Linked DNA regions of Sus scrofa. The protein of the gene in region 1 purifies or fractionates together with the protein of each later gene. This does not show direct contact. Links are inferred from orthologs where the notes say so. Each region holds a gene or a part of one and is shown in the gene's direction. Other genes may lie near its edges. The genes, in order: PHF5A, SF3B4, SNRPA1, SF3B6 and SF3A3.

The links.
Region 2: the proteins of PHF5A (region 1) and SF3B4 purify together in Homo sapiens (affinity purification with mass spectrometry; 6 studies listed by BioGRID and IntAct, with this or other methods). This does not show direct contact. The link is inferred for Sus scrofa from reciprocal best matches to the Homo sapiens genes PHF5A and SF3B4.
Region 3: the proteins of PHF5A (region 1) and SNRPA1 purify together in Homo sapiens (affinity purification with mass spectrometry; 4 studies listed by BioGRID and IntAct, with this or other methods). This does not show direct contact. The link is inferred for Sus scrofa from reciprocal best matches to the Homo sapiens genes PHF5A and SNRPA1.
Region 4: the proteins of PHF5A (region 1) and SF3B6 purify together in Homo sapiens (affinity purification with mass spectrometry; 4 studies listed by BioGRID and IntAct, with this or other methods). This does not show direct contact. The link is inferred for Sus scrofa from reciprocal best matches to the Homo sapiens genes PHF5A and SF3B6.
Region 5: the proteins of PHF5A (region 1) and SF3A3 purify together in Homo sapiens (affinity purification with mass spectrometry; 3 studies listed by BioGRID and IntAct, with this or other methods). This does not show direct contact. The link is inferred for Sus scrofa from reciprocal best matches to the Homo sapiens genes PHF5A and SF3A3.

Annotation. Positions count from the first base shown.
Region 1 is NC_010447.5:7,069,342-7,074,205, forward strand, and holds the start of PHF5A (PHD finger-like domain-containing protein 5A), read left to right. Parts: upstream 1-1,803; 5' UTR 1,804-2,169; coding exon 2,170-2,221; intron 2,222-2,638; coding exon 2,639-2,662; intron 2,663-3,157; coding exon 3,158-3,324; intron 3,325-4,531; coding exon of another isoform or gene 4,532-4,576; exon of another isoform or gene 4,577-4,729; intron 4,730-4,864.
Region 2 is NC_010446.5:99,126,077-99,130,038, forward strand, and holds the end of SF3B4 (splicing factor 3B subunit 4), read left to right. Parts: coding exon 1-91; intron 92-2,345; coding exon 2,346-2,519; intron 2,520-2,735; coding exon 2,736-2,923; 3' UTR 2,924-3,142; downstream 3,143-3,962. UniProt on the Homo sapiens protein: Component of the 17S U2 SnRNP complex of the spliceosome, a large ribonucleoprotein complex that removes introns from transcribed pre-mRNAs.
Region 3 is NC_010443.5:145,705,588-145,710,459, forward strand, and holds the start of SNRPA1 (U2 small nuclear ribonucleoprotein A'), read left to right. Parts: upstream 1-1,805; 5' UTR 1,806-1,883; coding exon 1,884-1,965; intron 1,966-3,461; coding exon 3,462-3,609; intron 3,610-4,576; coding exon 4,577-4,655; intron 4,656-4,872. UniProt on the Homo sapiens protein: Involved in pre-mRNA splicing as component of the spliceosome. Associated with sn-RNP U2, where it contributes to the binding of stem loop IV of U2 snRNA.
Region 4 is NC_010445.4:114,612,069-114,616,375, forward strand, and holds part of SF3B6 (splicing factor 3B subunit 6), read left to right. Parts: intron 1-1,014; coding exon 1,015-1,133; intron 1,134-4,307.
Region 5 is NC_010448.4:93,973,316-93,978,316, reverse strand, and holds the start of SF3A3 (splicing factor 3A subunit 3), read left to right. Parts: upstream 1-1,992; 5' UTR 1,993-2,158; coding exon 2,159-2,254; intron 2,255-2,523; coding exon 2,524-2,571; intron 2,572-4,439; coding exon 4,440-4,492; intron 4,493-4,595; coding exon 4,596-4,701; intron 4,702-5,001. UniProt on the Homo sapiens protein: Component of the 17S U2 SnRNP complex of the spliceosome, a large ribonucleoprotein complex that removes introns from transcribed pre-mRNAs.

The DNA of each region.
Region 1 (4,864 bases):
GGTGTGGCCAAAAAAAAGAATACAACCTGTGGTACTGGTATGGTCCAGATCTCTTTCTGTAGGGGTCTAATGGTCATGCTTTCCAAAATCCTGTGTCAGTTCAAAAATACTGTGATATCAGTCCTCTCTTCCAGGCTCAACAGATCTGTAATAATTTATCTTTTCAAACAATCTTGCCCAGATTCACTACAGATGGGACAGCAAGATCAGCAAGAAACAACTACTTCCACATTGTTAACTTGGAGAAACAAAAAAATCTAAGAGAAAATTTGGACAAATCCTTGTCTTTGCCCAGAATTGAGAGACCCTAAGTATTTTAAGATAAATGATTTCCCTTTAAACCATATGGTTTAAATTTTAGCAATGTAACTTTAAAAAAAAAAAAAAAAACTTCTGACAACACAATACTTTCTGAGAGTACAGTACACTACTTCTTTTTAAATTCTGCAATAATAGTTGTGCTACTTGATCCAATGTAGATTCACAAATTTAAATGTAAAAGGTTGTCGGAGAATGCTTGCTTGATTTTTTATTAACGAAATACGTTCTTGACATTGAACCTTTGAGTGTAACATCTTCCTAGGGTTGTCAAGTCAGGAGTGAAAAAAAAAGAAATGGCAGTCAGTCAATCTTCTAGATGGTTCAAAAGAGGACAGTCAAGGTCAAACTGTTGAGTCTCTTTTACCCTCCCCATCTAGTAACTGAAAAGCAACTGATTGTGAGCTCAAAATACGCCATTCTGGAACTCCCACAAATACAAATGTCAGCTCCAGGACCACACTCTGGCTCAAAAAGTTCTGTGAGGGCAGGCTGAAAGGGACAAGGAGAATGGGGAGTAGTAGGGCAGATGCTCAGGCCACAGCACTTTGGTAAGACTCAGAGAGCAGAACTTTTACCTGTTTTCTAACAGCGTCATCACCTATCAAATAAAAATAATCATCTCCAGAAATGATGATATGAATCAAACGATGTGGTGAGGAATTAAGTCTTGCAATCTTGTGCAAAGCTGAGAGACTACTGTCATCATTACTATTTGCTACATCTGGGCACGGAACCCACCCCCTCGAATTCTTGGGTACATGTTCCGCAGGATCCCCACAAGATGGAATAGGTCATAGTTTTTTTTTTTTCCCCCCCTACAGACTCCATGTTTGGCAACCGTAGATGCACCTGGCTAGCAACTCTGTGCTACTGAGATGAAAAGTGAGGCCTTCAGGCTCTGGGCCTAGCGCGCTTACCAACCACCGCGCCCCCCAGTCACCTTGTCCTCACCTTGAGGAACGGGGGAGGAAAAAAAAAAAAAAAAAAAAAAGCCTTACGGGGGAAGAAACTGCGGTCCTCAAAAATGAGAAAGACGTGCCTCCACTCTTCACCCGGCCGCCGCTTCTTAGGCCCTTGCTTCCAGCGGGGCGGGGACAGGGCTGAGAGCTGACTGAGCCGGGGACGCCCTGACCTCGGGCGCCAGAGGAGCGGGTATTTGCGCTGGGCCCGCGCAAGGGACAGGTACGCGAAAAGTCGGCCGGAGGTCAGGCCCGCCTCGCCTTGCCTTGCCCATAGCCGCAAGCGCAAAAGAGGTACCCCGCCCCCGTAAACCTAGAGGGCTCTCGGTTCGCTCACCTGCAGCCGGGTCACCAGTAGGCTGTAAGGCGCCATTTTGTGCACTGACAAAGATGAGGTCGCTTGAAAGTGACGTGACACGCGGCTTATTTAAGGCCTTCGGTGAGGGGCGTGACCTGAGGAGAAACGCGTCACGCTGAAGGCGTTCCCGCGAGCGACGTGGGCGGAGCTCCAGAGTCAACCTGGGAATTGGGAGAGAGCTGCCTAAAAAGTTGGGGTAGTAAATACCCGGCACAAAGATATCAAAGTGCAAATTTCGTCTTTGCGCTCTGCAACTTGTCCCTCCCATTCAAATCTGGGAAAGTTTTTTTTTTTTTTTTTCCCTAAATGACCCGCACACCCCTACCAAGACCTGACTCCCCCACTGCCAACGGGAATTCGTCTTCGGAATTTAAGTGCTTTGATCACGCGAGAATGAGCGGGGCTTGGTGCAAAGATTGCAAACGCTGATGGACGCCTAGAGAACCAATCAGGGCGACGAGGAGGCAGGAACAATCAGGGTTAAAGGTCTGGCGGAAGCTCCCTAAGCTTCCGGTGGTTTGAGCGCGAGCGATGGCTAAGCATCACCCGGACTTGATTTTTTGCCGCAAGCAGGCTGGTGTTGGTGAGACGGTCTTCTGCCCCCGGCTGTTTGGGTGGGGATGGTATTAGGACCTTAAGAGTCCGGGGTTCCCATTACTCCTTTAGGGTGTTGCTTCGGAGGCGCCCCGTTTCCCGCCTCGCCGCCGGTAGTGTAGGAGCGCGTGGGTTTGTGGGCTCAGATGAAAGGGGGGCGGGGGCGCGCGTGCTGAGAGCTGGAGAGGGGCTGCGGAGATAGAGAAATTCTCAGTTTTCCCAGGACCTGGGAGGTCTTACGAGGGTGCGGATTTGGTTCGGATTGAAGTTTATGAGAATACGATGGTTAAGACCTCTCAGGGCTCACTGCAGACCCTGTACCTGTCCCCAACTCAAGCTCGAGGCTTTTGTCCCCTCTTCTAAACCTTAATCCTAATTGTACTCTTTATCACCTTTGATCTTGCAGCCATTGGAAGACTGTGTGAAAAATGTGAGTGGAACACGCTTCTCCAAACAGCCCACCCCTCCCACTCAGCTTCTATAGTGGCAGCAACGGACATTTTCAGCGGTGCCACGAAGAGGGCTTTGGATAGACATGATTGGAAGCATGTTAATACAAAGCCAGACTGCAACTAAAGGCCACCTTCCCGCTCCAACTTGTACATTTTAGGCACTGTATTTAGGTTTTGACAAAACCTCTAGCTTTGGACCAGAAGTAGCATGACCCTGCCCCCAACACACACAGCATTCTGCCAGTCAATTATATAGACTTATCTACCGACTGCTATTCTAAGCCCTTTATATTAATTGATTAGCTTTCCTATGTGTTGGGGAGATTGAGAAATGGACGCTAGGTAAACCAATTTTATAATGCCAAAATAGAGGGCTAAAGTCACTGTCAGAAGGACATAGTGTTTTTACCCATAGCAGGAAGAGGACCTGAGGTACTTGCAAGTGGGCGTAATTCAACCTCTTTTCCTTACAGGTGATGGCAAGTGTGTGATCTGTGACTCCTACGTGCGTCCCTGCACCCTGGTGCGCATATGTGACGAGTGTAACTATGGCTCTTACCAGGGGCGCTGTGTGATCTGCGGAGGCCCGGGAGTTTCAGATGCCTATTATTGTAAGGAGTGCACCATCCAGGAGAAGGATGTGAGTGTATACTAAGCTTTTCCTCTGATCTTTCCTTTCGTTTAGGAACACTTGGCCATCCACAGCAGACTCCTATGGTCAGGAGATGGCTGTTCAGCCAGTCACCTAGGTTATAATTTTCAAGTTCTGTAAACCAAACTGGGTGTACTCCAACAAAAGGTAGTTATTTTGCATCAAGTACACAAAGGCGAGAAAAGCAAATTTTTGTCAACACTGGCAATTTGATGTCTTTCTCTCTCTCTTTTTTTTTTTTTTTGGCTGTGTCCACATGTGGACGCTCCCAGGCCAGGGATGAACCATGCTGCTGTTGTGGCCTGTGCCACAGCTACGGCAATGCCAGATCCTTAACCTACTGCACCACAAAGGAACTTTCTCTCTCTTTTTTTTTTTCCCCCCAGAAACTATGCTGCATTTTTAAATCATACCACAGTGCATGATGTGCAGAAGTCACTAATTTGTGCTACCATTAAGGAACGTTAGGGTGGATGTGATGACTTTTGAATTTGGGACAGTTCAAGTTCATTTCAGCTCTGAGTGGCTAGAGAGTGCCTTTGGTTGATTTTGCAGAATTGATTGTAATTCTTGCTCATGGCATTTTTGCCCCTTGACATTTTTTTGGTGCCAGTGGCTTTTTTTTTTTTTTTTTTTTGCTATTTCTTTGTGCCGCTCCCGTGGCATATGGAAGTTCCCAGGCTAGGGGTCAAATCGGAGCTGTAGCCACTGGCCTACGCCAGAGCCACAGCAACGCAGGATCCGAGCCGCCTCTGCAACCTACACCACAGCTCGTGGCAACGCCGGATCCTTAACCCACTGAGCAAGGGCAGGGATCGAACCCGCATCCTCATGGTTCCTAGTCAGATTCGTTAACCACTGCACCACGACGGGAACTCCGGTGCCAGTGGCTATTTATTCAACTCTTTGAGCCAGGATAGAGGGCTTGTAGATCTATTCCAAAAGCAGGCTTGGGGTAGGGGAGGTTAATCAGCTTTTATTCATATGACACAATAAATAAAAGGAAATGTGATATAGTACCAGTAGACTATTTATTATAAGGTATCTGGTTACCTAATCTAGGATAAGGCATGAGATAAAATATTTCTTAATTTTTCCTTGTGCAAAGAATAGGTAGTTTCTATGTGGGTATTATCTTCCATATTCTTCACAGTAACTTTGTTAAATAGGGATTATTACTATCCCCCTTTTACAGTCTGTCCTGCAGCTAATAAGGGGCAAGCCCCGGCTGTCTGTCTAAACCTGGTGATAGCTGCAATACACCTTATGGTCCTTTTGGTGGGATGTGCCTGGTTGACGAGAAGCAACTCAGCAATCTTTACATTTGGATCCTGTCTACCTTTAATAAGTGGGACATGTCACACCAAATAAAACTTTTTTTTTACACCATTAAGTCTTCTCTTATTTAGGGAGATGAGAAAGATCATAAAGTACCAAAGACAAATTTTCCCTTGGTGATGTGAACATTCTCCTGTCCTAAACTCTGATTTGTGTTTACTTTTGATTGTCATATCATACCTGTTTGATC
Region 2 (3,962 bases), on another chromosome or scaffold:
CCTCCATCAGCAGGAACCCCAGGGGCTGGACATCCTGCACATGGACACTCACATCCTCACCCATTCCCACCGGGTGGGATGCCCCATCCAGGTGGGTTTTCTTTGCTGGGAAGGAGAGGGATTCTTTCACCAGTTATGCTGCTGTTCTCTGTCCTTCAACAATAATAGAGAGTCCCTTTCTTTAGACATTCCTTTCTTCCAGACATTTTTTTTTTTTTGTCTTTTTGCTATTTCTTGGGCCGCTCCCGCGGCATATGGAGGTTCCCAGGCTAGGGGTCGAATCGGAGCTGTAGCCACCAGCCTACGCCAGAGCCACAGCAACGCGGGATCCGAGCCACGTCTGCAACCTACACCACAGCTCACGGCAACGCCAGATCGTTAACCCACTGAGCAAGGGCAGGGATTGAACCCGCAACCTCATGGTTCCTAGTCAGATTCGTTAACCACTGCGCCACGACGGGAACTCCCAGACATTCTTTTATAGAAACAAACACAAAATACTTTAGCCTGTTTACTTTAACAACTATCAGCCTGTTTTCATTTCTTAAAGTTTTACCGAAGAGTATAACTATACTTGCTGGGTTTTGTTTTCTTAACCTTTACTTCCATTCTTTCCTCTGACTTCCACCCCAAAGCAGTCACCTACATGCCAAGTCTAGGCTGCTCCTTATCTTGTTTGATCTTTGCTATTCTTGAAACTGGCCGTGTCCTCCTGTTTGAAAATCTTGTCTTTTTTGGTTTTTATGGATTCTCTTTCTCTCTGAATCCTCAATCTCAGCCACCTTAATAGGCTCCTTTTTCTCAGCTGAGGTTTTTGTGTCTGGCTCTCTTTTTTGCACAGTCCCATTGTTTGTACACTGATGCCACCTAGATGGGTGGCTGTTCCATGGGTATTAACATTCCATACCCTTAATCTTACTGTTTAATGGATGACTACTTTTTTTTTTTTTTTTTGTCTTTTGTCTTTTTGTTGTTGTTGTTGTTGTTGTTTTTGTTGCTACTTCTTGGGCCGCTCCCGCGGCATATGGAGGTTCCCAGGCTAGGGGTTGAATCGGAGCTATAGCCACCGGCCTACGCCAGAGCCACAGCAACACGGGATCCGAGCCGCGCCTGCAACCTACACCACAGCTCACGGCAATGCCGGATCGTTAACCCACTGAGCAAGGGCAGGGACTGAACCCGCAACCTCATGGTTCCTAGTCGGATTCGTTAACCACTGCGCCACGACGGGAACTACTGGATGACTACTTTTATACCCCTGCCCTTCAACCTTATTCTTTCTCTAGTAGTCTTAGTTTTCAGGTGCTTGATTCAGAAATCTGGGAGCTATGTTTGACTCTTCCCTGTTACCCCACTCTTTTTTTTTTCTGTCTTTTGTCTTTTTAGGGCCGCACCTGCGGCATATGGAAGTTCCCAGGCTAGGGGTCTAATTGGAGTTGTAGCTGCCAGCCTACGTACGCCACAGCTGCACCAACACCAGATCTGAGCCGCATCTGTGACCTACACCACAGCTCATGGCATCACCGGATCCTTAACCCACTGAGCAAGGCCAAGGATCGAACGCACAACCTTACGCACCATGACAGGAACTCCACCCCACTCTTAATACCAAGTCTTATTAATACCTCTGCCATCAGCCCTCATTGTCAGTGCCCTAGTTCAGGCTCTCATATCCTCATTATTCCACACCTAATTTATTGTAGTAATTTTCTGACACTTTGACTCTAATTATCTCTACCTTCGATCGACTTTCAGTGAGTAATTTTTCTAAAATATAGATGTTCACACACCCTTGCTCAAAATTCTTTTGCTCCCTTTTACCTATCGAGTAAAGGCCAAACTTGTTAGCATAGCAGTTCTAGGTTTGTCATGATCTGGCTCCTCATTGTTCCCACAACTGCATTCTCCTGATTACCGACTTACTGGTTTTCCTATAACATACTGTGCTTTTGGACGTACTTGTGCTTTGCACGTGCTAATCATTTTGCCTAGAATGTTCTGTTCCCACTTGTTGTCCCCCTGAAAAATTCCTCTTTATCCTTCAGAATTGGATCTTGGTTCAGGCAGTATCTCTGTTACCTTCTCAAATCCTATTCAATAGCATAATCGTTCCATTTGTTACATACTTCTGCAGCACTTGTACAGTGCCTAAATCATGGAAGGAGCCAGCTGGGTGGTTGGGAATTGATTGGATCATAGGTTGGTTGGTTCTCTTGCTTGGAGTCAAGGATAAGGGCACTTTTTACCAGCCTTATTTTCCTTACTCTTTTCTTTCTCATTTTCTTTGCCCCCTTGTCTGATTTTCTTTTGTCTCCTTTGTGTTTGTGTCTGTTTTGTTCTCATAGGGATGTCTCAGATGCAGCTGGCCCACCATGGCCCTCATGGCTTAGGACACCCCCATGCTGGGCCCCCTGGCTCTGGAGGGCAGCCACCACCTCGACCACCACCTGGAATGCCTCATCCTGGACCTCCTCCAATGGGCATGCCCCCTCGAGGGCCTCCATTTGGATCGCCCATGGGTGAGTAGGTTCTGGCCACCTCTCTTGTCCTCATGTGTCATATTCTTGCAGCTTCTTTAGTCACACCTCTTATCCCCTGTGTGTTCTTTCTTTTCATTCTTGTATTTCTTTTCACTGTTTGCTTGTCTCTCCTCTTCCTTCACTGTCCCAATGTTTTGTCCTATTTGTCCCAATTATCTCCTAATTGTTTTTACTAAGTTCGTTCTTTTCCTGCAGGTCACCCTGGTCCTATGCCACCACATGGTATGCGCGGACCTCCCCCACTGATGCCCCCTCATGGATACACTGGCCCTCCACGACCTCCACCATATGGCTACCAGCGAGGACCCCTCCCTCCACCCAGACCCACTCCCCGGCCTCCAGTTCCCCCTCGAGGCCCACTTCGAGGCCCTCTTCCTCAGTGATTTCTCACTGTCTTTGCTCCTGTTATGTCCTCCCAATATCTTTTCACTTCCTTGGACCAATCAGAGTTGCTGTAGCTCGCAGGGGCTAGGGCACTAATCCCTCTCAGGCCTTTTTTGTAAGTGTAATTTTTTTTCCACAGGAGGTTTTTTTTCCCCCTCTATGTTGGTCCGAAGTGCTTTGCAAATGCACAGAGAAAATAAAACTTAACTCCTTGTTTATTCTTTGTGGTGTTTTCCTTGGCAAAACAACTTCTTTTTCTCTAATAAGAGGTGTCAGTCTAATAGGGAAAGACTGGTAAGGTCAGAATAAGGGTGTTTACTCCATGGTTTAAAGGCTTATTCTGGGAGTTCCCATTGTGGCTCAGCAGGTTAAGGATCTGACATTGTCTCTGTGAGGGTGTGGGGTCTATTCTTGGCCTCACTCAGTGGGTTAAGGATCCAGCATTACTAAGCTGTGGCGAAGGTCGCAGAGGTGGCTCAGATCTGGTGGTGTCATGGCTGTGACATAAACCCCAGCTGCAGCTCTAATTCGACCCCTGGCCTGGGAACTTAAGCATGCCGCAGGTATAGCTGTAAAAATAAAATTAAATAAGTAAATAAATACAGACTTATTCTGTAATGTGCTGTGGTGGTTGCTGGACTGCTGTGTACTACAGCAGTTATTTCTTTACATTAAACTTACCCATAAGATGAAGACCCAATATCTGTGATAAAGGATTATTGTGATTATTGTGACTATTAAGTGAGAACAGAATTAAAGTTCCTGAGGTAATGCTGGCAAAAATATGAAGTAACATGCACAAAGCTATTCATTGCAGCACTCTTTGTAATAGTAGCTTGAAAACAACCCACTTATCCATCAGTAAGGATCTGGTTGAATAAATCGGTAAATCTATACAATGGAGTACTGAGAAGCAGTTAATAGAAATGAGGGAAATTCTACTTAGCTGTTTTGGAGAGATCTCCAGGATATAGTAAATGAAGAAAGTAACATGCAGAACAGAATGTATAGTGTGCTTCCTTATCTAAGGGTTGGCAT
Region 3 (4,872 bases), on another chromosome or scaffold:
AATCCGACTAGGATCCACGAGGATGTGAGCTGGATCCCTGGCCTTGCCAGTGGGTTAAGGATCCAGCGTTGCCATGAACTGCGGTGTAGGTCACACACATGTCATGGATCTGGCATTGCTGTGGCTGCAGTGTAGGCTGGCAGCTGTAGCTCCGATTCACCCCCAGCCTGGGAACTTCCATATGCTGAGAGTGCAGCCCTAAAAAGCAAACAAACAAAAAAAGACCAAAGACACCATTGTCAATGGGGAGGGCCTTCTCAGCCAAGAATTTCTTCCTCCAAAGTCTCTTATTTAATTGGACCATTTGAAAGCTCAGGATGGGTTGGCAGATTGTATTGTTTTTGTTTTTTTGCAAAATAGGCGAGGCAGTCACATTTCTTATCCTTCTGATTAAAATTACAGCCCAGATTATGATTTTGGTGATTTGGGAAATAAGATGTTTTCTTAAACAGACCAAAATGTACTAAAATTTGTGTTTTGCAGCTTGATGATGTATACGAGGACAGTATTTTGGCTTCCTGTGAGGTGTTTGGTATTTAGGAAGTTTAAACTACTACCCCCCAAAAAAGAGTAAAAGGCAAGCCATATAGTATGCTCACACTCAGAATATATAAAGAAATCTTAAAAGGAATAAGAAAAAAGAAAACCCACTAAGAAAAAAAATGGGAGAAAGACTTGAATGGGCACTTTGTAAAAAAATATCAGAATGGACAATATGCTTAACTATTATTAGAAAAAAGCAAATGAAAGCAATAGTGCACTGGTACTCACCAGAATTGCTAAAATTATGAAGACTGACAGTGCAAATGAGGTTAATGTTGGCAAGTGATGGAAACCCTTACACACCACTACAGTGTGGAAATGATTCCAGCCTCTTGGAAGTTATCATCAGGCAGTACCTATCAATAATACCACACACTTTGTCTCCTTAGTTTCACTCCTGGAAAAGTTCAGGCACAGGTGCATGCGATCCACGTACAACAAAATTCATAGCAGCATTATGCAGACTAGCCCCAAGCTGGAAACAAACCTAATGTCCATCGACAGCGAAATGGATTGTTATGGTGTAAGAGACGCAATAGAATTCTATACAGCAGCAAGTAAGCAAATCATTGCTGCCTGCAACCTGGATGGATTTTAGGCATGACACAGAGCCAAAGAAACCAGATACAAAAACAGATTGCATCATTCTCTTTATATAAAAGTAAGCAAAACTAATCTATGGTGACGGATTCGTAGTTCCCTTTGGGGAATGAAGGAGTCTCCGAATTTCAGGACCCCAGCAGCAGCCACCCAAATGTGCTCACTCTGTGGGCATTTGTCATGTTGCAGACTTTAGATCTGCACACTTCCTGTGTTATCAGGCTTCAGCATGAATATCTAATTGTCTAGAGAGGGCAGGCCTGACTGCAAACTAGACCAGTGCGGAAGACCCAGGCTTGGTCTTCATGGTGTCACCCGGATGCCAAAGCCCGGGACCCATCACTGAATCCCATGGGCGGAGTGAAAGCAGTCACTGCCTCCCTTTCACCTCTAGGTGTCCTGACGCACGCGAAAGTTCCACTCGTGGGCTTTCACTCTTTATTAACTTGCGGACACAAATATCTGGACTCGGGGGCACTGCAGGCCGAAGCTGCACAAGAGGAACGAACTCAGAACCAGATGCGCCGCGGAGAGCGCGGGAGCTAAAGCCCAAAAGCTGTGCCCGAGCCCGGGGGCGGGGCCGATCACGGAGGAAATGGCTCCTCGATTGATTAGGCCTGGGAGCCGCGCTGTTAGCACACGCCGGAAGCGATTGATGCTGCCTGGCGGCGGGCGCGGGGTACGCCGGGACGTCGGTGCGGCGGGAGGAGCGGGAGACACTGCAGGCGGGAGGCGACAGGATGGTGAAGCTGACGGCGGAGCTGATCGAGCAGGCGGCGCAATACACCAACGCCGTGCGGGACCGCGAGCTGGACTTGCGAGGTGAGTCGGGCGGGGGCGGGCGGCCCGGCCTCCCCGCCCGCTCGGCGGCCTGCGCCCGCCGCGTGCGCGAAGGGCGGGAACGTGGCCTGGGGCGTGCGTCCCGGTTCCTACCCCGGCTGAGTCCCGCTGTCGTCGGCGAAACGCCGACCCTGGACTCCTTCGAGGCTCTCCTTAGCCCAGCCCCCACCGCCCGGGACCGCCTCGATGCTTGGGTCAGACCGCGGGGCCGGTGCCGGGCCTGCCGAGTGACCTGAGCCGTTGGGGGGCGGGGAAGTACACGCCTGCGGGGTGGGCTGAGCCGTTGGGGTGCTGAGCCGTGTTTGTGATCCTCGTGCGGACCGAGATACGGTAAAGTGAAGTCATGAGAATATAGGTTGGGTATGGGACGGAGGAAGTGAAGTCCGGAGCAAAAGCGATTTTTTTTCCCGGCTTTTCCTCCTCCTTAGCTTCAAGGATCTATTTCCCTTTTGCCAAAACCTTTCAAAGAGCAGACTGTTTCAGCCACGCTAGGGCTGCCGGATGTCTTGCGTCTATAAGGGAGGCGGAAGTCCTCCAGACTATTAGATTCCTGTGGCAACTCGTCTGCATAGTAGGAGAGGCTTTAGAAAGGGTGTGAAGGACGACTTCTCCGGGGTTAAGTGTTGGCTTGAGATCCACCCCCACGGGGGAGAACACCGTCTCAGGAGCAGCACTGCTGCGGGCCCTGCTTTCTGCTTGCTTTTTTGTTTGCTGACATAGTACTTTCGTTTTGTTGAAATTAAATATCATAGGTTCGACTCAAGAGTAACCCACCGCTTTCATACTCTTGGCACAGGCTGATGTCTGCCTGAGTTTGAAGTGCATCCGGTGTTGAGAATGCTCGTTTTGGTACAGCACTTAACTTTGAGCCTTTAGAGCTCTGAAATGTGTACTTATTTAACCTTGCCTAGGTTAACTTCTTTTCTTCTCCTAGCACCTAAGACAATAATTATGCCCCTAGAAGACAAATCAGTGAGCGTTTGAGTGAGTTGTTCACAAGGTGATTTACCATTGTGTACAAATTGACCTTCAACTCTGGGTTGGGCCTCTGGGAGGTGAGAGAAGTGGGAACTGTCATGATACGAAGATATCCAAATGAGTTCTGGGAATCTGACCTGTGGAAATGCAAAAAAGGTTGGGAGCTATTACTGTCCACAATACGTGGACAAGGCTTGGACACTGACAGTAGGCAGCTCACAGTGTAAAGTCCTGTTAGGCCACTTCATTAGCTTTGGGGCCTTGCTTAGAACAATACAAGGCACCTTGTAAGTATACTTGGAAATGTTAGCTACCTATTAGTATTACTGTTAGCGAGTATTCTCATCTTTATTGCCCTTGTAATCAACCAGTGCTTTGGCAGTGTTTGGCACAGCATAGGTGCTAGATAAACAACTTTCTGATTGAATGAAAGCTTTGAGTCCAATTACCATGAAATGCTGCTAATGTTTCCTTGTGTGTTTTTTCCCTCCTTTCTCCAGGGTACAAAATTCCTGTCATTGAAAATCTAGGTGCTACCTTAGACCAATTTGATGCCATTGATTTTTCTGACAATGAAATCAGGAAACTAGATGGTTTTCCTTTGCTGAGAAGACTGAAAACATTGTTAGTGAACAACAATAGAATATGGTAAGTGTCTACTAGTGGAAAGTAATTTTTGTTCCCCTAGAGTAAATGTAGCAGAGTTCCATAAAGAAGTTGCAGTATTGCCAGTTACACCTACGTATTTCTTAAATGGAAAATGAACTACACTTTTCCCATACAGATCCAGAGATGAATTTGGTATTGGTCTGGTCTTACTTGCATCTATTCAGAAATCTTGTATTATTTATGTATTCATGGTACATTTCTAATTTAAGTTAAAAACCTACTGCTTTGGGGAGTTCCCATTATGGCTCAGCAGGTTAAGAACCCAGCTAGTATCCATGAGGATCTGGGTTCAATCCCTGGCTTTGCCTGGTGGTTTTAGAATCTGGCATTGCCATAAGCTGCGGCATAGGTAGCAGATGTGGCTCGGATCTGGCATTTCTGTGGCTGTAGTGTAGGCCGGCAGCTTTGGCTTTCATTTGACCCCTAGCCTGGGAACCTCCATATGCTGTGGGTGCAGCCTTAAAAAGACACACAGACACACACACACACACACACAATAGAAGTGCTGGGTAGTGAGTTGCTTTTTTTTAAATGCCCATTATTTCTCGTGAGTTAACTATTCCACTGTGGTTTGCTTACTGGCTTATCTTGTGCCTGAGCTCTGACTGCAGAATCACTTATGTTTTTGGGCTTCACACAGGTCCTGAGATGAACTAAGTAGTCTGTTTTACACAGGAATTTCTTGTCTTTGGTTTCGTTAAGATAGTGTGGCAGTAGGAAGGGCCCTGGACATCTTTCAGGAGATGTGGGTTTTAAAGTCATCCTACTTCTGTCACCTGTGTGACCTCAGACAGTTCTTTTTGTGCCTTATTTTCCTGTCAGGGTCTTGGAAGAAAGATCTCTTAAGTTTCTTCCCACTCTGAAGCCCTCTGAGCAAGGGCTCAGATAAAATTTTTAGCTGACTTAATTTGCATGTTTACTAAGAGTCCTTCTGTTTTTATTTCAGCCGTATAGGTGAGGGACTTGATCAGGCTCTGCCCTGTCTGACAGAACTCATTCTCACCAACAATAGTCTTGTGGAATTGGTAAGTTGAACAGGGGAAGAATGTATTTGGGGGGAGGAATTAAAGGTACTACATTTCTTTTATAGAAAACTTGGAAAACCCAGAAAATTATCCCCTCGTTCTTTTTCTTGGTCTTTTTCTTAATTCAGGAAATGGGCCTTTTGGGGTTTTGTTGCAGATATCTTCCCATTCGCGAGCTCACCTTTTGACACCGAGGATCTTGATAGAGAAATTCCTA
Region 4 (4,307 bases), on another chromosome or scaffold:
CTGCACAAAAGCTTGTAAGTTTGAATAGGTCCCATTTGTTCATTTTTGCTTTTATTTATATTGCCTTGGGAGACTGACCTAAGAAAACATTGGTACAATTTATGTCAGACTGTTTTGCCTATATTCTCTTCTAGGAATTCTGTGGTATCAGGTCTTATATTTAAGTCTTTAAGCCATTTTGAGTCTGTTTTTGTGCATGGTGTGAGGATGTGTCCTAACTTCATTGATTTACATGCAGCTGGGCAACTTTCCCAACACCGCTTGCTGAAGAGACTTATCTTTTTTCTATTGATGATTTATCCCTAATTGCCTCCTTTGTTGAAAATTTGTTGACTGTAGATGGGTTTATTTCCAGGGTGTCTCTTCTGTCTGATTAATCTGTATGTCTGTTTTTCTTTGGCCAGACCATACTGTTTTGATTACTCTAGCTTTGTAGTAGTGTCTGAAGTCTGGGAGGCTTATGCCTTCAGCTTTGTTTTTTTCCCTCAAGATTGAAAGGCCTGGGTTGTGTAGTAACCCTTTATTAATTCCTACTAATAGTCTTCCCTAAAACCAGTGCCCAGTTGCTTTTCCAAAGAGCATGCCATTTTTATTAATATCAGATTATAATTCTTACTCTTGGCTTATAAAAATTATGTATCATTTTCATTAGAATATATTATGAGGAGTTCCCATCGTGGCGCAGTGGTTAACGAATCCGACTAGGAACCATGAGGTTGCGGGTTCGGTCCCTGCCCTTGCTCAGTGGGTTAGCGATCCGGCGTTGCCATGAGCTGTGGTGTAGGTTGCAGACGCGGCTCGGATCCCGCGTTGCTGTGGCTCTGGCATAGGCCGGTGGCTACAGCTCCGATTCAACCCCTAGCCTGGGAACCTCCATATGCCGCGGGAGCGGCCCAAGAAATAGCAACAACAACAAAAGACAAAAGACAAAAAAAAAAAGAATATATTATGAGAATTTTTTAAACGGTAGCACTCTTGTCTTTGATTATAACAGTATGTTATTTCTCATTTTAGATTCGACTTCCACCTGAAGTAAATCGGATTTTATATATAAGAAATTTGCCCTACAAAATCACAGCTGAAGAAATGTATGATATATTTGGGAAATATGGACCTATTCGTCAAATCAGAGTGTGAGTCTTACTGAGACTTTTGAAATGGCATTTAAAGAAAATGATTACATAATTTATCATCTCAGAATTAGCTGACATTGGGCCTGAGAGCCTAGAAACTAAGGGAAAAGTACCCATGGAGACCCTCATGGTCCAGCTTAATTAGAGCCAATAATAGTATTATGCAGTTATAGAGAGCATGAAGTAGTAATGAATGGTTTGAGGGGAATGGATGAGGAGAGAAAGGGCTAGCATTTATTATATGCCTACTGTTTATAAAGAGGTCCTCTGCTATGATTTTTATATGCATTAACTCTTAATTTTCTCAACGGTCTTCACTGTCTCCTTTACTGACAACAGAATTTCTGAATAAGCTGTGTAAAGGGATATAAAAGTAACTGAGAAAAATGATTTTATTTTTCAACTATGGAGGATTTAAAAGTATAAGGCAAAATAATTACACTACACAGCCATATGGTTTGGTTTGGTTTGGTTTTTTATGGCCACACCTGTGGTGTATGGAAATTCCCAGGCCAGGGATTGAATTCGAGCTGCAACTGCAGCAACACAGTTTCCTTTAACCCACTGCACCAGGCCAGGGATGGAACCTGCGCCTCCTCAACAACCCAAGCCACTGCAGTCACATCCTTAACCCACTGTACCATGGGGAGTACTCCCAAATCCATGTTTTAATTTAATCTAAAGATGGGCTTTATACCTTCAAGTGATATTTTTGGTCATCTACTGTATGTCACCTGTAGTTATAGTTGCTTTTATTTGCATCAGCAACCCTACAGCCCTGTGTGGAGGGGATATTGTGTCTGTTTCATCAAGGCCCAGAGAGTAAAAGTACCTTTTTGGCTTCAGACAGCTATTTAGTGATAATATCTTCTGATTCTAAATTGAATCTCTACACCACACAGTAACACAGCCACTGTCACTTTAACTAGTATAAATGAGCCAATTACCTAAGAGTCCATTAAAAGGATTTCTAGAGTTTTTATTTTTAGTTGGAATAATTCTTTTTTGGTCTTTTTTTGTCTTTTCTAGGGCTGCACCCATGGCATATGGAGGTTCCAATATGGAGGCTAGGGGTCCAATTGGAGCTGTAGCCACTGGCCTACACCACAGCCACAGCAACACTGGATCCGAGCCATGTCTGCAACCTACACCACAGCTCATAGCAACACCGATCCCTAACCCACTGAGCGAGGCCAGGGATTGAACCCACAACGTCATGGTTCCTAGTCGGATTCACTTCCACTGCGCCACGACGGGAACTCCCAAATGATTCTTAATAACTGTTCTTTTATGACTTGAGAGCGCATTCTTGGCTTTTAAAACTCTGTGAGACCTTGAGGACTCTCCTTTTCAATGATCACTGTCCCTCCAAAAAGTAAACCAAGAGCTAGAAATACATCATCACTGCTACTCAAACAAGAATGAAAATGAAGGAGTTCCCGTCATGGCTCAGTGGTTAACGAATCCAACTAGGAACCATGAGGTTGCGGGTTCAATCCCTGGCCTCACTCAGTGGGTTAGGGATCGGTGTTGCCGTGAGCTGTGGTATAGGTCGCAGACACGGCTCAGATCTGGCGTTGCTGTGGCTATGGTGTAGGCCAGTGGCTACAGCTCCAATTTGACCCCTAGCCTGGGAACCTCCATATGCCGTGGGTGTGGCCCTAGAAAAGACAAAAAAAAAAAAAAAAAAGAATGAAAATGAAGTTTTATAGACCAGCTGTCCTTTTTAGGAAGTCTTTTTGCCCTAAAATGAAAAAAAAAAGCAAATAATGTTAGCTTAGTGCCTAACATATAATAGGTACCAAGTACATGTTTTTAAAAATTAAAATTACAGTGTGGTTGATAATAGGTTGGTAATTAGGGGCTGGGTACTTAAGATGGAGAGTCTTTAAAATGAAGTTAGAGGGAGTTCCTGTCATGGCTCAGTGGTTAACGAATCTGACTAGTAACCATGAGGATAAGGGATAGATCCCTGGCCTCATGCAGTGGGTTAAGGATCTGGTGTTGCCCTGAGCTGTGGTGTAGGTTGAAGACTCGGCTCAGATCCCATGTGGCTGTGCCTGTGGCTTAGGCCGATGGCTACAGTTCTGATTTGACCGCTAGCCTGGGAACCTCCATATGCTGCGGGTGCAGCCCTAAAGAGACAAAAAGACAATAATAATAAATAAATAAATAATAATAATAAATAAATAAAATGAAGTTAGTGCCTACCTATTCTGCTTTCTAAGAAGATGTAAGGAAGAGATCCTTTTGTTTTGTTAGCTTCCTACAGAAAAGATATGTGAGAGGATTGATAGGAAAAAGTAGATCTCTACCCTTCAAATGCTTATTAGTATTTGCTGTAATCATAGTACTGTGGGAGTGAAATAAACTATACACTCGTGTTTGCTCTTAAGGAACTTTAAATGTTGCTAAGTTCTTTTGGTTTTGTTTTGGCCATACCCACAGCATTTGGAAGTTCCCAGGCCCGGGATTGAACCCATGCCACAGCAGCTACCCAAACTGCTGCAGTGACTCTGAATTCTTAACCAGCTATGCCACAGGGGAACTCCACAAATGTCGCCAAGTTTTTTAATGGTTTTATTCTGAAGGAAAAATTAGGTAGACTTTTTGGGAAAATCTTCGGGACAGTGTTTTTCCTTTGGGTAGTCCCCAGTTCTCATACCTAAAACATTCTTGAAAATGGTCAAAAGTCCTAAAGTTGTTAGATTATTTGCAGAGTAAGGAATTTTATAAAATTCTCCATCAGGCCTATGCTGCCTGACAGAATGAGAGTGTTCAGTGTCACTGGCACCCTCTAACCACCCAGTACCCTGTACCTATCCCATCCCCTTTTACAGGAAGCACAGGTTCTGGCTGGGGCCCAAGACTGTAGTCTCATTCTTCACCAGATCTTCCCCTTCCCATGGGCCCACTGCCTTTCCTTGACCCTGGGCAGGGACTATGGCAGTTGGTAAACCTGAGTCCTCAGTTGCAGTGGGTGGCTAGAACACAAAAAGGCAAGGGGATCCATGTTTAGCTTACTGGAACATAAGCCGATTGGGACCTCTGCCCGCTGTCCCCACTCACAAGCACATGGCCATCTGCCACCTGCAGTTTGCTGCTCCTCACACTTCCCTACCCCCTCCCCTAATGGGAGTTTGTGATGTGAGGAGAGGAGGTGGCAAGGAACAG
Region 5 (5,001 bases), on another chromosome or scaffold:
AGGTCTTGCTTAAATTTCAGACATCATATAATCCTCTCAAGACCCCATGAGCAGGCAGGACAAAAGTCATTATCTTTATGTTGTTTTTAAAACTAATAAACAAAAAGCAAAGCATGCTTATTGCAGAAAACTTGGAGAATGCTGAAAAGCAGAGACAGTAAATCACTAATAACTCCTTGATATAACCCCCTAGTTCTTTTTTATTAAGCAGGCATGTACACCTATGTATTTTCATTTTTTAGTTATTAATGTTTTTGTTTTTCTTTTGCGTTTTAGAGCCATACCCTCGGCATATGGAGGTCCCCGGGCCAGGGGTCCAGAAGGAGCTGTAGCCTTGGCCTACACCAGAGCCATGGCAACTTGGGATCCAAGCTGCGTCTGTGACTACACCATAGCTCACGGCAACGCCGGATCCCTAGTCCACTGAATGAGGCCAGGGATCAAATCCCACAACCTCCTGGTTCCTAGCCAGATTCGTTTCCACTGGGCCACGACGGGAACTCCTCTAGGTTTTTTCATTTTTCGTGACCATCTTTCCATCTGAGTTCACACAGATTTTTTTTTTTTTTTTTTTTTGCTTTTTAGGGCCCGCACTGTATGGAAGTTCCCAGGCTAGGGGTTGTATCTGAGCTGCATCTGCAATCTACGCCACAGCTCACAGCACCACCAGATCCCAGACCCACTGAGTGAGGCCAGGGATCAAACCCACATCCTTATGGATACTAGTCAGAATTGTTTCTGCTGCTCCACAACAGGAACTCCCCCAACAGAATTTTTAAACAGCTTCTACTGAGGTAGAAGTTACATACCATAAAATTCACCCAAGTTAAGTGTACAATTCAATTAATTTTAGGAAATTTATCACAGCTGTGCAACTATCACCACAATCCAATTTTAGAACATTTTTATCATCCCCCAAAAGATTTCCTGTGTCTTTTGCAGTTGCTTCCTGTCTCACCTCCAGCAGCAGGAAACCACTCGTTTACTGTGTATAGATATGCCATCTGGACATAAGCTATGTCACTTTTTGTGTCTGGCTTCTTTCACTTAGTGTGATGTTTTCATGGTTCGTCCATATCTCAGCATTCCTTTATTGCTGAATAATATTCCATTATATGGACACATCACATTTGGTTTGCCCATTTACCAGTTAATGGATTTGTGAGTTGCATCCTGTTTCTGTCTATAATGAATATCACTGCTATGAACATCTGAACATATGGACTTGTTTTCATTTCTCTACCTAGAAGTGGACATATGGACTTGCTTCACTTTTTTTTTTTTTAAAGCCGAATAGCATTTTGCTTCTTGGATGTACCATATTTTATTTAACCAGCCCCCTGCTGATCGACAATTAGGATGCTTCCACATATGCAGAAAGAAAGAAAAAGGAAGGAAGGCAAAGAAAAGGAAAGGAGGAGTTCCCGTCGTGGCGCAGTGGAAACGAATCCACCTAAGAACCATGAGGTAGTGGGTTCAATCCCTGGCGTTTTTCAGTGGGTTAAGGATCTGGCGTTGTGGTGAGCTGTGGTATAGGTCGCAGAAGCATCTGGGATCCTGCGTTGCTGTGGCTAAGGTGTAGGCCGGCAGCTGTAGCTCTGATTGGACCCCTAGCCTGGAACCCTCCATATGCTGCAAGTGCGGCCCTAAAAAGCAAAAAAAAAAAGAAAAAAAGAAAAAAAACCCTGCTCTCATCCCCATTTTACTGACAAGGACACGGAGGTCCCGAGAAGAGAAAAACTTTGTCAAAGGTCACACAAAGAGCTGGAGACTCAAGTTCCGGTTCCCTACTCCCATCCATACGCTTCAACCACTCATCCAGTTTCCTACCCTCTCGGCCTCAGGAGGCCCCGGAAAACCAGGTCAGATCCCTTGAAGCCAGGGTGTTGGTGGATATCTGCCTGCCCCCTAGAGGCACCTGGAAACCGTTGGGCATCGCGCAACACACCCCCGGCCAGCAGGGGGCACTGCAGCCGTGTCCCGAGCACTGATTGGGTCTCCCGCGGTGCTCACTTTTCGTCGAGTCTTCGAAGCACTTCCGGCAGCCGCGGAACTTTGGTGCAGCCGGACGCGCGGCTCGGCGACGCGGGCGCGCAAGGCGGCAGAAGTCGTTTCCGGCCGTTTCGGTGGTCCGCCTTGCGGCTCGGGAGGAGGGACGATGGAGACGATTCTGGAGCAACAGCGGCGCTATCATGAGGAGAAGGAACGGCTTATGGACGTCATGGCTAAAGAGATGCTCACCAAGAAGTCCACGGTGAGTGGGGCCTGGGCAGGGGTACCCCTGAAACTGGGCCCCTTGCCCGTGTTTAACCTCAGAGAGCCCCAGACCTGCTCCGCGCCCGCCCCCTCCCCGGACTCGCTCCCGAAACTCTCGCCTTGGTAACATTCTCCCCGGGCCCTGCGCCCAGAGGCCTCTCGGCTTGGGCCGCTAAGACCTGAGCGGGTAAGCTCCGCCCTCGGGCGCCCGTCCTAACTCCAGAACAACGACTAACGGCGTCCTTGTCACCGTTTGCCTTTCTTCAGCTCCGGGACCAGATCAATTCTGACCACCGCACACGGGCCATGCAAGATGTGAGTGCCCTGCTGTTCGCTTCTCTTTGGGTCGTGATGGACTGGAAGAGGGAGGAGGGGGGACACGGGTGTCAACAGGAGCCCTGGCCACAGGTAACCAGATTGGCCAGTCGAGGGTTTGTATGCCTGCCAAATGTCCACACGCTGCCAAACCTGAGGGTGCTTAACTGCCCTTGCTCACTTCTTTGAATGGGAAACTCATTCATTATTCATTACCGGGGAAGATGCCTCTTTAAAGCCTCCTCTGTCCAGTGGATGACCAAAGAGTAGTTATAGTGATTCAAACTCAGACGGTACTCTGCCTTCTCCCCCAAAGAGAATGCTGTGTATTAGTGTTTTCCTCTCAGAACACTGTATTGAAATATTTTTTGCTTACCAGGCTGCATTTTTCTAGTAATAGTTCCATTTTTTTTTAGAAAGAGTCAAAACTAAAATGTTGGTACGTATTAAAACTGAGTGGTAGGTAAGTGGAGGTTCATTATACTGTGCTTTCTAGCTCTGTTTTTGCGTGTTTGAAACCTATTTAGAAAGGGAAAAAAGATCTAATCAGAATTTCTAGTTTGGAGGACATAATTAATATTATAAGCCCTAGTCCCTTAGCTAAATTCCCAAAAGCAAAGTACTCCAAAAACAAAAGGTTATTTGTTCTTTTAATTACTTGGTGGCAAAAATCTGACTTGATATGAACAGATGAGAGACCTTTTTATTGTCTTTATCCCATTGAATAAATAGTGCATAAATTTCACTGCAGAACTATTAATGTGTGTTCCAGATTCCACTAGGTATATTATATATAGTGCCTTCCTGAAATTAAAAACTTCAAATTCTGAAACAAATCTGGTCCTGAAAGCTTTGGAGAAGAGACTGTGTACTTGTTCCATCCTGAGTTTGAATCTGGAGGAGACTGTGTGATGTTTTATTTAGCATGTGCACTCCTCAGTTAAGCTTTTTTTTTTTTTTTTTTTTTTTTTTTTTGTCTTTTTAGGGCCACACACGCGGCACATGGTGGTTCCCAGGCTAGGGCTCACATCGGAGCTGTAGCCGCCAGCCATTACCACAGCCACAGCCACACCAGATTCGAGCTATGTCTGTGACCTACACCACAGCTCACGGCAACGCCCGATCCTTAACCCACTGATTGAGGCCAGGGATCGAACCTGCATCCACATGGATCCTAGTCAGATTATTTTTCCGCTGAGCCATGACAGGAACTCCTCAGACAAGCTTTTTGAAATAATGGAAAACATCTTTGACTATCCGTTTATCTTTGAGGGTCTTAGGTGGGAACTGCTTTGTATCAGAGTGACTTCCTTATATGGTTCACTTTTAGATCTTCTAGGGAGAGTTAAATATGGGAACTCTGCCACCCCTCAAATCACATCACTTAGGTAATCTTCAAAATAACCTGTTTGAAAAACTGACTAGGAACCAATGCTGTGTATTATAGATCCCAGAAAGCACAAGAACTTTTCTTTTTTGGGGGGAGCCGCACCTATGGCATATGGAGATTCTCAGGCTAGGGGTCGAATTGGAGCTGTAGCCACTGGCCTATGCCACAGCCACAGCAATACCCGATCTAAGCCGCGTCTTCCACCTAATCACAGCTCACGGCAACACTGGATCCTTGACCCACTGAGCGAGGCCAGGGATCGAACCTGCATCCTCATGGATGCTAGTCAGATTCGTTTCCATTAAGCCACAACAGGAACTCCTGACAAGAACTTTTTTTTTTTTTTTTTTCCTGACAAGAACTTTTAAAGCACATCTCTTAAGGTTTCCTTGGGCTTTGACTAGAAAGCCCTTTTTGGTTGCTTGGGTCTAAATTGTACAGATTGCTTCATTCTGATGGGTTTGTGTTTGCCTTTCAGAGGTATATGGAAGTCAGTGGGAACCTGAGGGATTTGTATGATGATAAGGATGGGTAAGTGACAGTCAGCCAATCCAGAAATTATTCCTCCTGAGGAGCTGTCACTAGAGGACTGATTTTGTGTTCCATGTTCTATGGATTTTTTCTGAAATTGCAGGTTACGGAAGGAGGAGCTCAATGCCATTTCAGGACCCAACGAGTTTGCTGAATTCTATAATAGACTCAAGCAGATAAAGGAATTCCACCGGAAACACCCAAACGAGGTATGACCTTGGGAAGTATTTTCCCCAAACCTGTCCAAAGAGCATACTAAAGAGAAAGATAGGAGGAAAAGAGACTTGTGCCACTCATGTGTCCCTTCAAAAAAGAACGTGCCATTTAACTGCAGGGAGCATAACTAGCTGACATACTACAACTCCAGTGCTTTCAGATTCTCCCTAGGTTTAAGCTAAGGCCATTCTCTTCTTAGGCAGTCCCCAGCCAGAGACCGAGCACAGAGGCAGGTACCATGGCCTGGTTATTTCTGCCCAACGTGAGACTCTTCTAATGAGGAATATTTGCTC